Macaca mulatta: one gene and its partners. The main gene of each other region encodes a partner of the protein of the gene in region 2 in a complex. Links are inferred from orthologs where the notes say so. Each region holds a gene or a part of one and is shown on either strand. Other genes may lie near its edges.

What was found.
Region 1: DHX29 (region 2) and EIF1AY share a complex: the UniProt entries of both Homo sapiens proteins name them as parts of the 43S pre-initiation complex. The link is inferred for Macaca mulatta from reciprocal best matches to the Homo sapiens genes DHX29 and EIF1AY.
Region 3: DHX29 (region 2) and EIF1AX share a complex: the UniProt entries of both Homo sapiens proteins name them as parts of the 43S pre-initiation complex. The link is inferred for Macaca mulatta from reciprocal best matches to the Homo sapiens genes DHX29 and EIF1AX.

Annotation. Positions count from the first base shown.
Region 1 is NC_133427.1:8,120,896-8,125,272, forward strand, and holds the start of EIF1AY (eukaryotic translation initiation factor 1A, Y-chromosomal), read left to right. Parts: upstream 1-1,492; 5' UTR 1,493-1,508; coding exon 1,509-1,524; intron 1,525-4,377. UniProt on the Homo sapiens protein: Component of the 43S pre-initiation complex (43S PIC), which binds to the mRNA cap-proximal region, scans mRNA 5'-untranslated region, and locates the initiation codon. This protein enhances formation of the cap-proximal complex.
Region 2 is NC_133411.1:63,063,790-63,067,440, reverse strand, and holds part of DHX29 (ATP-dependent RNA helicase DHX29), read left to right. Parts: intron 1-909; coding exon 910-1,086; intron 1,087-1,783; coding exon 1,784-1,924; intron 1,925-3,163; coding exon 3,164-3,308; intron 3,309-3,443; coding exon 3,444-3,561; intron 3,562-3,651. UniProt on the Homo sapiens protein: ATP-binding RNA helicase involved in translation initiation. Part of the 43S pre-initiation complex that is required for efficient initiation on mRNAs of higher eukaryotes with structured 5'-UTRs by promoting efficient NTPase-dependent 48S complex formation.
Region 3 is NC_133426.1:19,866,519-19,870,169, reverse strand, and holds part of EIF1AX (eukaryotic translation initiation factor 1A, X-chromosomal), read left to right. Parts: intron 1-424; exon of another isoform or gene 425-504; intron 505-657; exon of another isoform or gene 658-727; intron 728-950; coding exon 951-1,054; intron 1,055-2,747; coding exon 2,748-2,798; intron 2,799-3,651. UniProt on the Homo sapiens protein: Component of the 43S pre-initiation complex (43S PIC), which binds to the mRNA cap-proximal region, scans mRNA 5'-untranslated region, and locates the initiation codon. This protein enhances formation of the cap-proximal complex.

The DNA of each region.
Region 1 (4,377 bases), on a different chromosome or scaffold from region 2:
TAGGAGGATACTATACTATGCATATCATGGCCAGTTACATGCCCAATAAGATAATTTAGAATAAATGAACAAATTCCTGATACATAGAAACTATTTACCTTGCAGAAAGAAAGGGAAAAAAAAAAGGATTAGGAAGATACTATTCTTTGTGTATTATAGCCAATTATACACCCAACAAGTTAGATAATTTAGAAAAAATGAACAAATTTCTGATACATACAAACTACCAGAACTGACTCGGGAATAAATATAATACGAATTCATAATCAAAACTAAGGCCTTGGACCATTTAAAGAATTAACGAATTTACATCAAATGTGTCCAAAAACACAGAAGAAAAAGGGACCCTACACAATTCACTCTGTGAAGCCAGGATTATACTGATCCTAAAGCCAAAGTCATCACAAGAAACAAGCCAATATATCTTAACACAGATACCAACATTCTAAACACAATAGTAGCACACACAACAAATCCAGTAAATCAAATGCTTGCATATCACAATCAAATGGAATTTTATCTTGAAATAATTTCACAACAGGCAGTCCATTTGAGACATTTGGTTACTGTAAGATTCAGATGCTTAGTCTCACCCCTTCCTATATATATTTACCTTCCATTTCCTATACATATTTACCGTCTACTGTTTGTCAGTATTCCGCTGGGTGGTAGCAATCTTAGGCGACAGGCCCGGCCTTGGTACTTACATGGTTTAGGGTGAGGTGCTGAGGTAAAGAAGACAGAGACTGAAAAAAAAAAAAGGCCAGGCGCGGTGGCTCACGCCTGCAATCCCAGAATTTGGCAGGCCAAGGCTGATGGATCACAAGGCCAAGGGTTTGAGACCACCCTGGCCAACATGGTGAAGCCCTGTATCTACCAAAAATACAAAAATTACCCGGGCAGTTCGCTCCACTGCACTCCAGCCTGGGCAACAAGAGCGAAACTCCGAAGGAGGGAGGGAAGGAAGGAAAGAAGGTAAATAGGGAGGGAGGGAGGAAGCGAGAGAGGGAGGAAGGAAGCATTCTGAACATAGAGGGTCTTGTCCTAAGTCAGTCCTCCAATATTACTGTGTAAGAGTAACGGCTCTCTTAAAATTTAGGTGTTTAAACGACCCACTAACTTGTGAAACTGGAAAACGTTTTTTTAGCAAAGCGGCGGACACCAGGTAACCGCCCCGTTCCATCCTTGACTCCACTTTCTCCACCTTGAGTTCCGCCCCGCTACCTGTTTATTCATCCGGCACCAAACTCTCCGGTATTCCAATGGGGTCTACTAGGTGTCAGTCATTTGGCCACGCCTCAGGCGAAGAGAGGCGCGGAAAAGTATCGCAATTAGGTGCGTCGCCTATTGCTGACGCCAGAAAGTGTGCGTCCGCAGTTTAGCAGAGAGTTCCGTGGCCAGTCTGTTGTGCGCACCCACCTGAGGCATCTTAGGTCAGCCTGCTCTTAGAGAAGTAGTAACCGCCAGAAAGGAGTCGGAAGAGGTCCCACGAGGCTGTCTTCACCGCTATGCCCAAAAATAAAGGTACTGCTGTAAGCGTCTGGGACTATACCTCGGCTTGCTCTGCCAGTAACCCCGACGTCTGTTCCAGGCCGCAGTAACTGTTCTTCCGGCGGAACTGGGCACCGCGCACCCTGCACTCTGTTGGGGAAAGGAGTTGGGAATGCCCGATTTGGTCACATTGGGTGGGAGAGACGCCATTTTTGTTGGGCCTGCTTCGGAAGGTAGCGGGCTTTTGCTACTGTTTCACGCCAGACGGAAGGCGTGTAGGTAGCGGAGGGTTGAGGGACCCTAACCGGACGGCCTGGCTTCCCAGAGTAGGCACCTGCAAACTGCCTTGCTACTTTCCTTTGAAGCAGTTCTTAACTTAGAAGATTTACGTATCTGGACAGTTAAAAGTATTGCTAAGGATACTCCTTTTTCCTTATTAAACAGTGGGGAAACCTTGAAACATGTTTAGGTTCGTCTCTGGCATTTTACTCTACCCCATCCCCTTATAGAGTGTAACATTCTTTTGCAGAAGAATTGTTACATATTTAGGCAAGTTTTTAACTTCCGTATCCGACAAATATCGTGGGAGTAAAGACATCAACCTTCCCTTCATTCAGCGTTTAAACTTTCACACCAAGGTTAGACTTGAAAATAAGTTTACTTACAGTTTCTAAAGTAGGAGGTCTAACCTCGGCAGAACTCTTGCTCAGTCGTTTCTGAAAGAAATTCTCCTTTATATAGACCTGAGGTAATCGCTCACATTTAATGCCCTTGTAATTACTTGAAGAAAACTATAGGTGGAAACAAAATGTATTATTTTCCACAGGAGAGGACCATATTTTTAGTACACAAAAACTCTGCTTAGATTATTCCTTCTTGGGACCCACACCAATTTGTCTTCTTTTTACTTGCTTGTTGGCACCAAGGAGTCTGTTTCATTTTCTCTTTATAGCTGTTACGACACACAATTCGAGGTACTTGGTGACAGTACAGGGCTCTGTTTTCTGGACATTACTCTTTGCTCTCCCCAAAACCCACTAATGAGTTGTTTGTATAAGATTTGTTTGTTTTACTGCAAAATTATTCGAGGATAAAAGTGTATTATGGGAGAAGTCTAATTAGAGTTAGCAAAGGCTTATGATTTTCACTAACATTTTCTCACATGGTACTGAACAACTTCAGTAAGTATGTTCTCACTTTTATTTCTCTTGATGAGATTCTCAGTTCTCTTAAGTTATCGATTCTAAAGATCACAGTATCTCCCTTTGCAAAATGTCCATTAAATCTTTGTTGATGTTGCTATCCCTGTACGTGACTCTAGCCTTAAAATAGTAAAGCTTCCTTTATTCTTGTAGGGTAGAACTTTTAAACTGAGTGATGCTTAAGAAGGTTCTCAGTAAAGAGTATCACCAAAACACATAGGGTTTGTTTAAGGAGAAGGTATGGATTTGTTGGTCATAGAAAGAAAGCAAGATAAAATATTAAACGATTTTAATTGTTATATGTTCATGCCTAGCCTCATTCTTTTAAAATATAATTTAAAGTGGAATCTGTTACATGGTATTACGGTAGAAGGAGAATAATCAGGATTTGGTTAATTCTGGTAAATTGAAAACAAATTTTTGTATCATATCTGAGGCACATAAAAGAAGTACAGTGGCCGGGCGAGATGGCTCATGCCTGTAATCCCAGCACTTTGAGAGGCCGAGGCGGGTGGATCACGAGGTCAGGAGCTCCAGACCATCCTGGCTAACAGTGAAACCCCGTCTCTACTAAAAATACAAAAAAATTAGCCTGGCGTGGTGGTGGCTACTAGTAGTCCCAGCTACTCCAGAGGCTGAGGCAGGAGAATGGTGTGAACCCGGGAGGCGGAGCTTGCAGTGAGCGGAGCGCCACTGCACTCCAGCCTGGCGACTGAGGAAGACTCCGTCTCAAAAAAAAAAAAAAAAAAAAAGTATAGTAATACAGTGAACTCCAGGAAATCCATACCTCTAGGAATTACAACACAGATTCGTTAAAGTCCTCTGTTACCTCTCCCAAATTTATTTTTAAGATTTACTTACCATCCTGAATTGAATGTTTTTATTATTGTGTAAAATCAGTGTTATCCTCTGGGATACTTAGTTGAAGGATATTTTTGAAGACCCCTACGTTTTATGAGATGAGACTTACTAATATAGAAGTAAAACTTGCTCATTTGGCTTTTTGTGTATTTTTGTTTTTGTTTTCATTTGAAAATCCAGATGTCTGTCAATATTGTCGTGGTGAGGTTTATCCAAATAAACATGTAAATGAGCATGGGCCATATGTGGAATTACTTTTTCTTTGCACTCATGCAGCTGGTTTTTTGCAGAAATCTCAGAAACCCATCCTCACATCAGGAAAAGGGCATCCTTTGGCCTACTTGTGAAGAGCTAGAGTAAGATGCTCCCACCTTTGAGATTGCTGTATGCAATTTAAAAGTTGCCATTCTTTTGCAAATGTGTAACTAATCATGATTTAGTCATTTGAAAAGCTGCCAAACTTTTATAAAACCCAGTAAGCAAAGCAGGTATGATCTTTGTCCTGACGCAGCTAAGTTCAGTCACGATTAATGGCTCGAAATATAGAATGTGTTTTCCTTTGTAGAAATTTAGTTTTGGCATACCCTAAGAAGGCATCAGAATCTGGATAAATCACGAAGTTGTGGAAGCCCAGATTTCTTTTATAGTAGCACAGAACAATGTGAGACTGCCCCAGAGGTAGTGGGTGGATTCAAGAAGTTAGATGTCTGGCTTTGCGGTAGCCAGGTATATATATTTTATTCTATTTGCAGTGTTAACGTTTTTATTCAAATTCTTCAATCGATCCTTTATATTACTGTAATTTGTAGCCTTTCTCCCTCCT
Region 2 (3,651 bases):
GTCACAGTACAGAAAGTTGGAAGATAGAATCAACAGATACTAAAGTTCTGACAGTATACCTCATCCATGCTCTTCCCTAAAATGCATGTGTTGGAAGAGCATAAAACCCTTTTTTCTGACAGTGATAGAGATTCTCTTGGATTCCTGCTAGTTAATGCCTCTTTTTCTACCTAGTAGATAAACCATCTGTCTTGTAATGGTGACAGTATAGTTTTATATTAGTGGCAGAGATTTAGCAGTCACTCTTGCTTCTAAGTGAAATTTGGGATATACCCTACATCTTTTCTTTCTTCTTTGAGACAGAGTCTCACTCTGTCGCCCAGGCTGGAGTGCAGTGGTATGAGCTTGACTCACTGCAACCTCTGCCTCCTGGGTTCAAGATTCTCCTGCCTCAGCCTCCCAGGTAGCTGGGATTACAGGTACACACCACCGTACCTGGCTAATACTTGTATTTTTAGTAGAGACAGGGTTTCACCATGTTGGCCAGGGTGGTCTCAAACTCCCGACCTCAGGTGATCCGCCCGTGTCGGCCTCCCAGAGTGCTCAAGTATGAGCTACTGGCAATAAGGTACTCCTTTTTCACGCATCCCTCAAACTTAGAGTTGTACCCGGCCTTATCAGCTACATCTGATCTGATTTGCGAACCATCTCCTAGGGTAGAGTCATGCTGTCATGGCTAATCTAGTTCATTATATGATTTTCAGTGACTTCAATTTTAGAGAATGACTTTATTTTCAGTTCTGAAGATCTGCCTTATTTAAAACATACAGCTTCTCCCTCCCTGCACATGTACTGACTGTACTTAGATATTGAATAACTTTTAGTAAATCTGGGTGTCTGATTGTTCAAGCTTCTTACTAGAATTTATACAATATATGATGAATTTTTTTATTCCCTTTTTAAAACTAGGTTCATGAAAGAAGTGTCCAGTCAGACTTCCTACTAATTATCTTGAAGGAAATTTTACAGAAACGTTCTGATCTACACTTGATTCTAATGAGTGCCACTGTGGACAGCGAAAAATTTTCTACGTATTTCACACACTGCCCTATTCTCAGAATTTCAGGAAGAAGTTATCCTGTTGAGGTAAGTTTTCTTTATAATGTGTGTATAAGCAGAAACTGCATTACCAACAGGTTCTTTCCCTAGGAGATGGGTGCTTGTAGTCTGAGGCCAGAACTATTCCTAGGTTCAGTGAGTCGACAGAGGAGCGGGACACAGCCTTAAGAATCAGATGGCTGTTACTGCCTTGCCTGAGGCTGGATAGGAGAGAAAGGAGGGTGTTGACTCAAGACAGCCCTAAGGGCTAAAGAACATAAAACTATTTTCACATGAAAATCATTATATTCAGATTAAGAGTTGCCGCCCTTCCCTGGTCATCTAATGGTCAGGGAGAAAAAAAAAAAAGAGTGGCTACCTGGCAATAAGGAACTCCTTTTTCACCCACCCCTCAAATTTAGGGTTGTCTTTGAAGCTTCCTTTTTACATATTCAATTCTTGATTCTTACCTTTTCAGTTCAGCTAATATAATCTACTCTTAACTGTTTCACATTATATGTATATATATAAATATATCTCATAATGTAATTTGTCTTGAGGCTTTAGAGACAATCCCTCTTTGTCAACCAAGTCTTCATTCCCAAATAATACTAAACATTTTTTTCATAATATTCTAAATTAGCGTTTGGTGACATTCAAAAGGTGGTGTCCCCTTTTTCTCTTTAAAATGATATTTACTGAAATGAATTTGAATTCACCCATTTATATACCTTATTCTATGCAGGTTTTTCATCTTGAAGATATAATAGAAGAAACAGGTTTTGTACTGGAGAAAGACTCAGAATATTGTCAGAAGTTTCTGGAAGAGGAAGAAGAAGTAACCATTAATGTTACAAGCAAAGCAGGGGGAATAAAAAAATATCAGGTAAAAAGAAAATATTTTGAAAGATATCAGATAATGATATCCAGGGCCTAACCTGCCACAAGAGTTTCAAAATCATATGGTTAACACAGTGAATTTGAGTATAATTTGATAGATGAGGAATAGATCTGAGAATGAACGAATTTTAAAGGTCGTTTCTTTAATCTTTATTTCATAGACTGTAATCTTTGATTTGTGATACTTTGATTGTCCTCTTAAACTATTCTGGGCCGTCTAGGTACACATACAAAATCAAGGACCATACAAGTTAGAAGCAACTTCTTACAACAATTTTGTAACAGTGATCAGTTATTGAGGAGTACATAGTAGTGATTTTTCTCTACTTCATCTCAACACCATAGGTGATCAGGATAGGGCAGGTCTCAAATCTAGATCCTTGCCATTGGTTTTCTTAGCCTCTGTCCTGGCAGGAGCAGGGCAGAGGCAAGATGGTGATAGGTAGATAGTGACAGATAGATAGATAGATAGATAGATAGATAGATAGATAGATAGATACATACATACATACATACGTACATACATACATACATACTGAAGCTGTGTAGGGCATAGTTCTTTCTGGGAAGTTCAAATATCAAAAAAACAATGTTATCCTGCATTTTAGCCAGTGGTACTAGATCCAGCATTTTTGTCATATCCATGATATTTCATGCATGTTTCCAATTTGATGAAAACACAGAGTTAAAGTTATCTTTATATTTTTATTAAGCAGATAGACCAAGAAAGCAAAAAGTAAAATCTTCCCCTAAAACACCAGAGGTAAAAATTACTAACTAAAGAAAGACTTTAGAAAAGTATAATTATTTCAAAAGAGATGACTGGAATTCAGGAGCCAAAGTACAATGTAGAAGGAATGAGCCAGGTACAAACTACTTATTAAAGTTATGACCTCTCTTGGCCTGGCTGCTTTTTAGTTGCCACAGAATGATGCATACATGATTACAATATGCTTTTCTACAATTATTTTAGTATGTATATGCCAAGATAAAAAGGTTTTGCTATACCTAAGGGCTGGATGACATTAAATTATAGGAGAGAGATGATACTTTCTGATATTCTCGCCACTACTAAGTATATTCTTTCTGTATCTTAACAAAATAGTAATGGTGACAATGAGAAAAATATAGATTTGATGAATGCAAATACCGCCTTTTTTCCTTCTTTGTCTTACAAAAATACTTAATATTTTTATTCAGCTCCCTCTGGTTGGATTTCTTTTAGGAATACATCCCAGTTCAGACTGGAGCAAATGCTGATTTAAATCCATTTTACCAGAAGTACAGCAGCCGCACTCAGCATGCTATTCTATACATGAATCCTCATAAAATCAACCTGGATCTCATTTTGGAACTTCTTGCCTACTTAGGTATATTTCTATTTCTAATGGGTCTCCATTTTATTTGATAAAACATTTCTACTATCTTGAGATGTTTTGTTAATATTTTATATGCTGTTCCTTTTATCTTCTTATTTTGAATATTGTATCTTTTTAAAATTTCAGATAAAAGTCCCCAGTTCAGAAATATTGAAGGAGCAGTATTGATCTTTTTACCAGGTCTTGCTCATATTCAGCAGTTGTATGATCTTCTATCAAATGATAGAAGATTTTATTCTGAACGGTAACTACACATCTTCATTATATTCCTGGTTGTTTTAAAATAGGAAAATATTTGGTACATTAAAACCTTTGATCAGAGTTTTCAAAGTTT
Region 3 (3,651 bases), on a different chromosome or scaffold from region 2:
GTTTTATTACTACAACTTCTCTCACTTCGGAAGAAAGGCTGCCTTTGAGTTGACCAACCATGTTGAGGTGGTAGGTGGGTGCTGGGCTCACTGTAGTCTGAGTAATTCACTTCCACAAGTCAACCCCACTACTGAGCCTTTCAAAGTGAAGTCTCAGTATATTTACAAATTAATGGACATCCTCTCTGGGGGTTAGTCATATTCTAATTCAAAAAAGACATTGTTTGAAGTTTGTTTTTGTTTGCTAAATGAACTAAAAATTATATGAGAATTGCTCCTAAAGGTACTGAGGTAAAGGAGAGCTAAAAGTGGGGTAGTTAATCTACTTATTCAGAATGAGTTGATAATTAAAACATGTCTAATAGCAGAGACCGTATGTTATAGAAATGCATTACATTCTCTGAGATCTGCTTTTACTGAAGTGGATCAGTGATGAAACTAGCCAAATCTGAACTTCAGAAGGTTTTCTAGTCTACCTGATGCATGATCTCTACAGTTCTGAGAAGCAAAACTAGAAAACAATGTAAAACAATAAGGGCATATGTCTGGTGTGTGTGTGTGCACCCACATGTGTTTATAAAGGTAGCAGTTGTAGGAATGAATGAGATTGAGGGTGAGGGGGTGCGTATGTATGTCCATGAAAGCCTAATCATTTCTGGGCAATGATGTAAAGGTTTTACTACTGACCTTTGTAACTGTGAAGGTTTCTACACTTGACCTGAGCTCAGGAAAAAGAAGAAAGAAAGAAATGGCATTATAGAGTCTTGGTTCTAGCTCTGCCATTAACTAACTTGATATTTATCACTCCCTTATGTTTGTTTATATTTTTAATATATGTATTTATTCCCAACTGGTGCAACTTTATTCTCTTGACAGTTTTATGTGGACTTGAAGTTGCTGTTATCAAAAGTTGAACAATATTCCATACCCTTTTCCTTTCTCCCCGCTAGAGTATGCTCAGGTAATCAAAATGTTGGGAAATGGACGGCTAGAAGCAATGTGTTTTGATGGTGTAAAGAGGTTATGTCACATCAGAGGAAAATTGAGAAAAAAGGTAGGTGTGATTTGTTTTACTTTAATATAAAATTGGTTAAGGGGGAAAATCCCTCTAACAGTTTTTAACTGTCCATGGACTTCATTTTTGGAAATTCCCAAAAGACTTACCTAGGTAAACAGTGATTTACCTATAAGGCAAATAACAAGGTCTGTAATGGTAATTTTATACAGATTCTAATGTTAAAGAATCATTTGTATCACTTACGTTGTATTCCTGCCCAAAAAGTCCAAATTGAGAGACATTCTGCAGAAACAAAAGGCCTAGCTTTTTTTCTCCTTGTCTTTTTTTTTTTTTTGACACAGGGTCTTACTTTATCACCCAGCCTGTAGTGTAGTGGCATGATCTGGGCTCACTGTAGCTTCACCCTCCTTGGTTCAAGTGATCCTCCCACTTCAGCCTCCCATGTAGCAGGGACTACAGGCCTGTGCCACCATGCCTGGCGAATTTCTGTATTTTTTGTAGAGATGGGGTTTCTCCATGTTGCTTAGGCTGGTTTCGAACTCCTGAGCTCAAGCAGTCAGCCCGCCTTGGCCTCCCAAAATGCTGGGATTATAGGCATGAGCCACTGTACCTAGCCAGATGGCCCAGCTCTTAATGAAATGTTACTGTCATGAAAGTTTAAAAAAAAAAAGTTGGGGCACTATTCTAGTTTCAAGGAGACTTAAAGAGACCTGACAGTTAAATGTAGTAGGTGGCCCTTGTTTGGATTCTGGTTTAGGAATTGGACATATAGCTGTGAAATGTACATTAAGAAAATTTGAATATGAGTTATATTACATAAGCATTGTATTAATGTTGCATTTCCTGAATGTCATCGTGAATGGACTGCCTTGGAAAGTAATGATTAATTCACCATCACAGTAGTTATTCAGGCAGATTTATTAATCAGGTTGACTAAAAGTCCCAACTCTGATTTTGTATTTTTTTAAATTTGATATGGGGGTCTTTCTTTTTTTTTTTTTTTTTTTTTTTTTTTGAGACAGAGTCTCGCTCTGTCATCCAGACTGAAGTACAGTGGCGTAATCTTGGCTCAGTGCAACCTCCGCCTCCCAGGTTCAAGTGTTTCTCTGGCCTCAGCCTCCTGAGTAGCTGGGATTATAGGCATGCACCACCACGCCTGGCTAATTTTTGTATTTTTAGTAAAGACAAGGTTTTACCATTTTGGCCAGGCTGGTCTTGAACTCCTGACCTCAAGTGATCTGCCAGATTCAGCCTCCCAAGGTGCTGGGATTATAGGTGTGAGCCAGCCCAAACTAAAATCTTTTAATTTCTTTTTTTTTTTTTTTTCTTTTAAAGAAGTTTATTTTTTTGAAACGGAGTCTCACTGTGTTGCCCAGGCTGGAATGCAGTGGTGCAGTCTTGGCTCACTGCAACCTCCGTCTCCCGGGTTCAAGCGATTCTCCAGCCTCAGCCTCCCGAGTAGCTGGGATTACAGGTGCCTGCCACCACGCCCAGCTAATTTTTGTAGTTTTTAATAGAGATGGGTTTTTGCCATGTTGGCCAGGCTGGTCTCGAACTCCTGACCTCAGGTGATCCGCCCACCTTGGCCTCCCAGAATCCTGGGATTATAGGCGTGAGCCACCGCTCCCGGCCTAAAATCTTTTAATTTCTAAACTAATTGATTGTTACTCTGGAATTTCTTGATTCTTCGTTATTTGAAATATGACGGGCAGTGACTTTTCTTTTGTAGGTTTGGATAAATACCTCGGACATTATATTGGTCGGTCTCCGAGACTACCAGGTAAAAATTACATGTAAATTTTTCATATTTTACTGGCTTGAATTTGATGAGCCATTTCTTAAGAGCCAGTTTCATTTTAGGCATTGTGCTAGGTATCCCAGGGATTATGTTTAAATCAAAATCTGGGAGCCATTATTCTAGAGGATACAGCTGAATGAGTTAAGTGCCCATCCCACAAAAGGCTCATAGCCTGGTAGTGGAGAGAATTAAGCACACAAGTAATTATAATACACATCACTACATAGGTATGTGCTATAAATATAGAGGAGCACTTGGGAAAGAAAAAAAATGGTGATTGCCTTTCATGATCGTAACCCTTGACTCTGTAGACTCATTGTGGGTCTGTGAAATCCATTTGACATCCACCTATTGGAAATCATCCCTGTGTGATACTGTCTCTATTTGTATAGCCTTGAGCATGCTTTGATTTTTTTTTTTTAATCCAGAATAAATAATTTAAATCTTCACTTTAAACCATTGTTTCTCAACCGTGGGCAATTTTGCCCTCCAGGGGACATTGGCAGTGTCTGGAGACTTCTGGTTGTCACAACTGGGGGGTGGGTGCAGTGCTGCTAGCGTGTAGTAAATAGAGGCTGAGGTGGGCACAGGACAGCATCCCATAACAGAGAACAGTCCACCTCACAATAATCCGTAGCGCTGAGGTGAGAAAGCTTGCTTTAAATTCATACCATTTTAATGTCCCTTTTTTTCTTATGATCTAACAATAACCCCAGGAATAGGAAGAATAAGTAATTTCCTGTTCGATAGATAAGGACACCAAGGGTCCGAAATGAGTAACATTTTAACTGTAAAGTAACAGCCAGGACCAACTTCTGATTTGAAATTTTTCGTG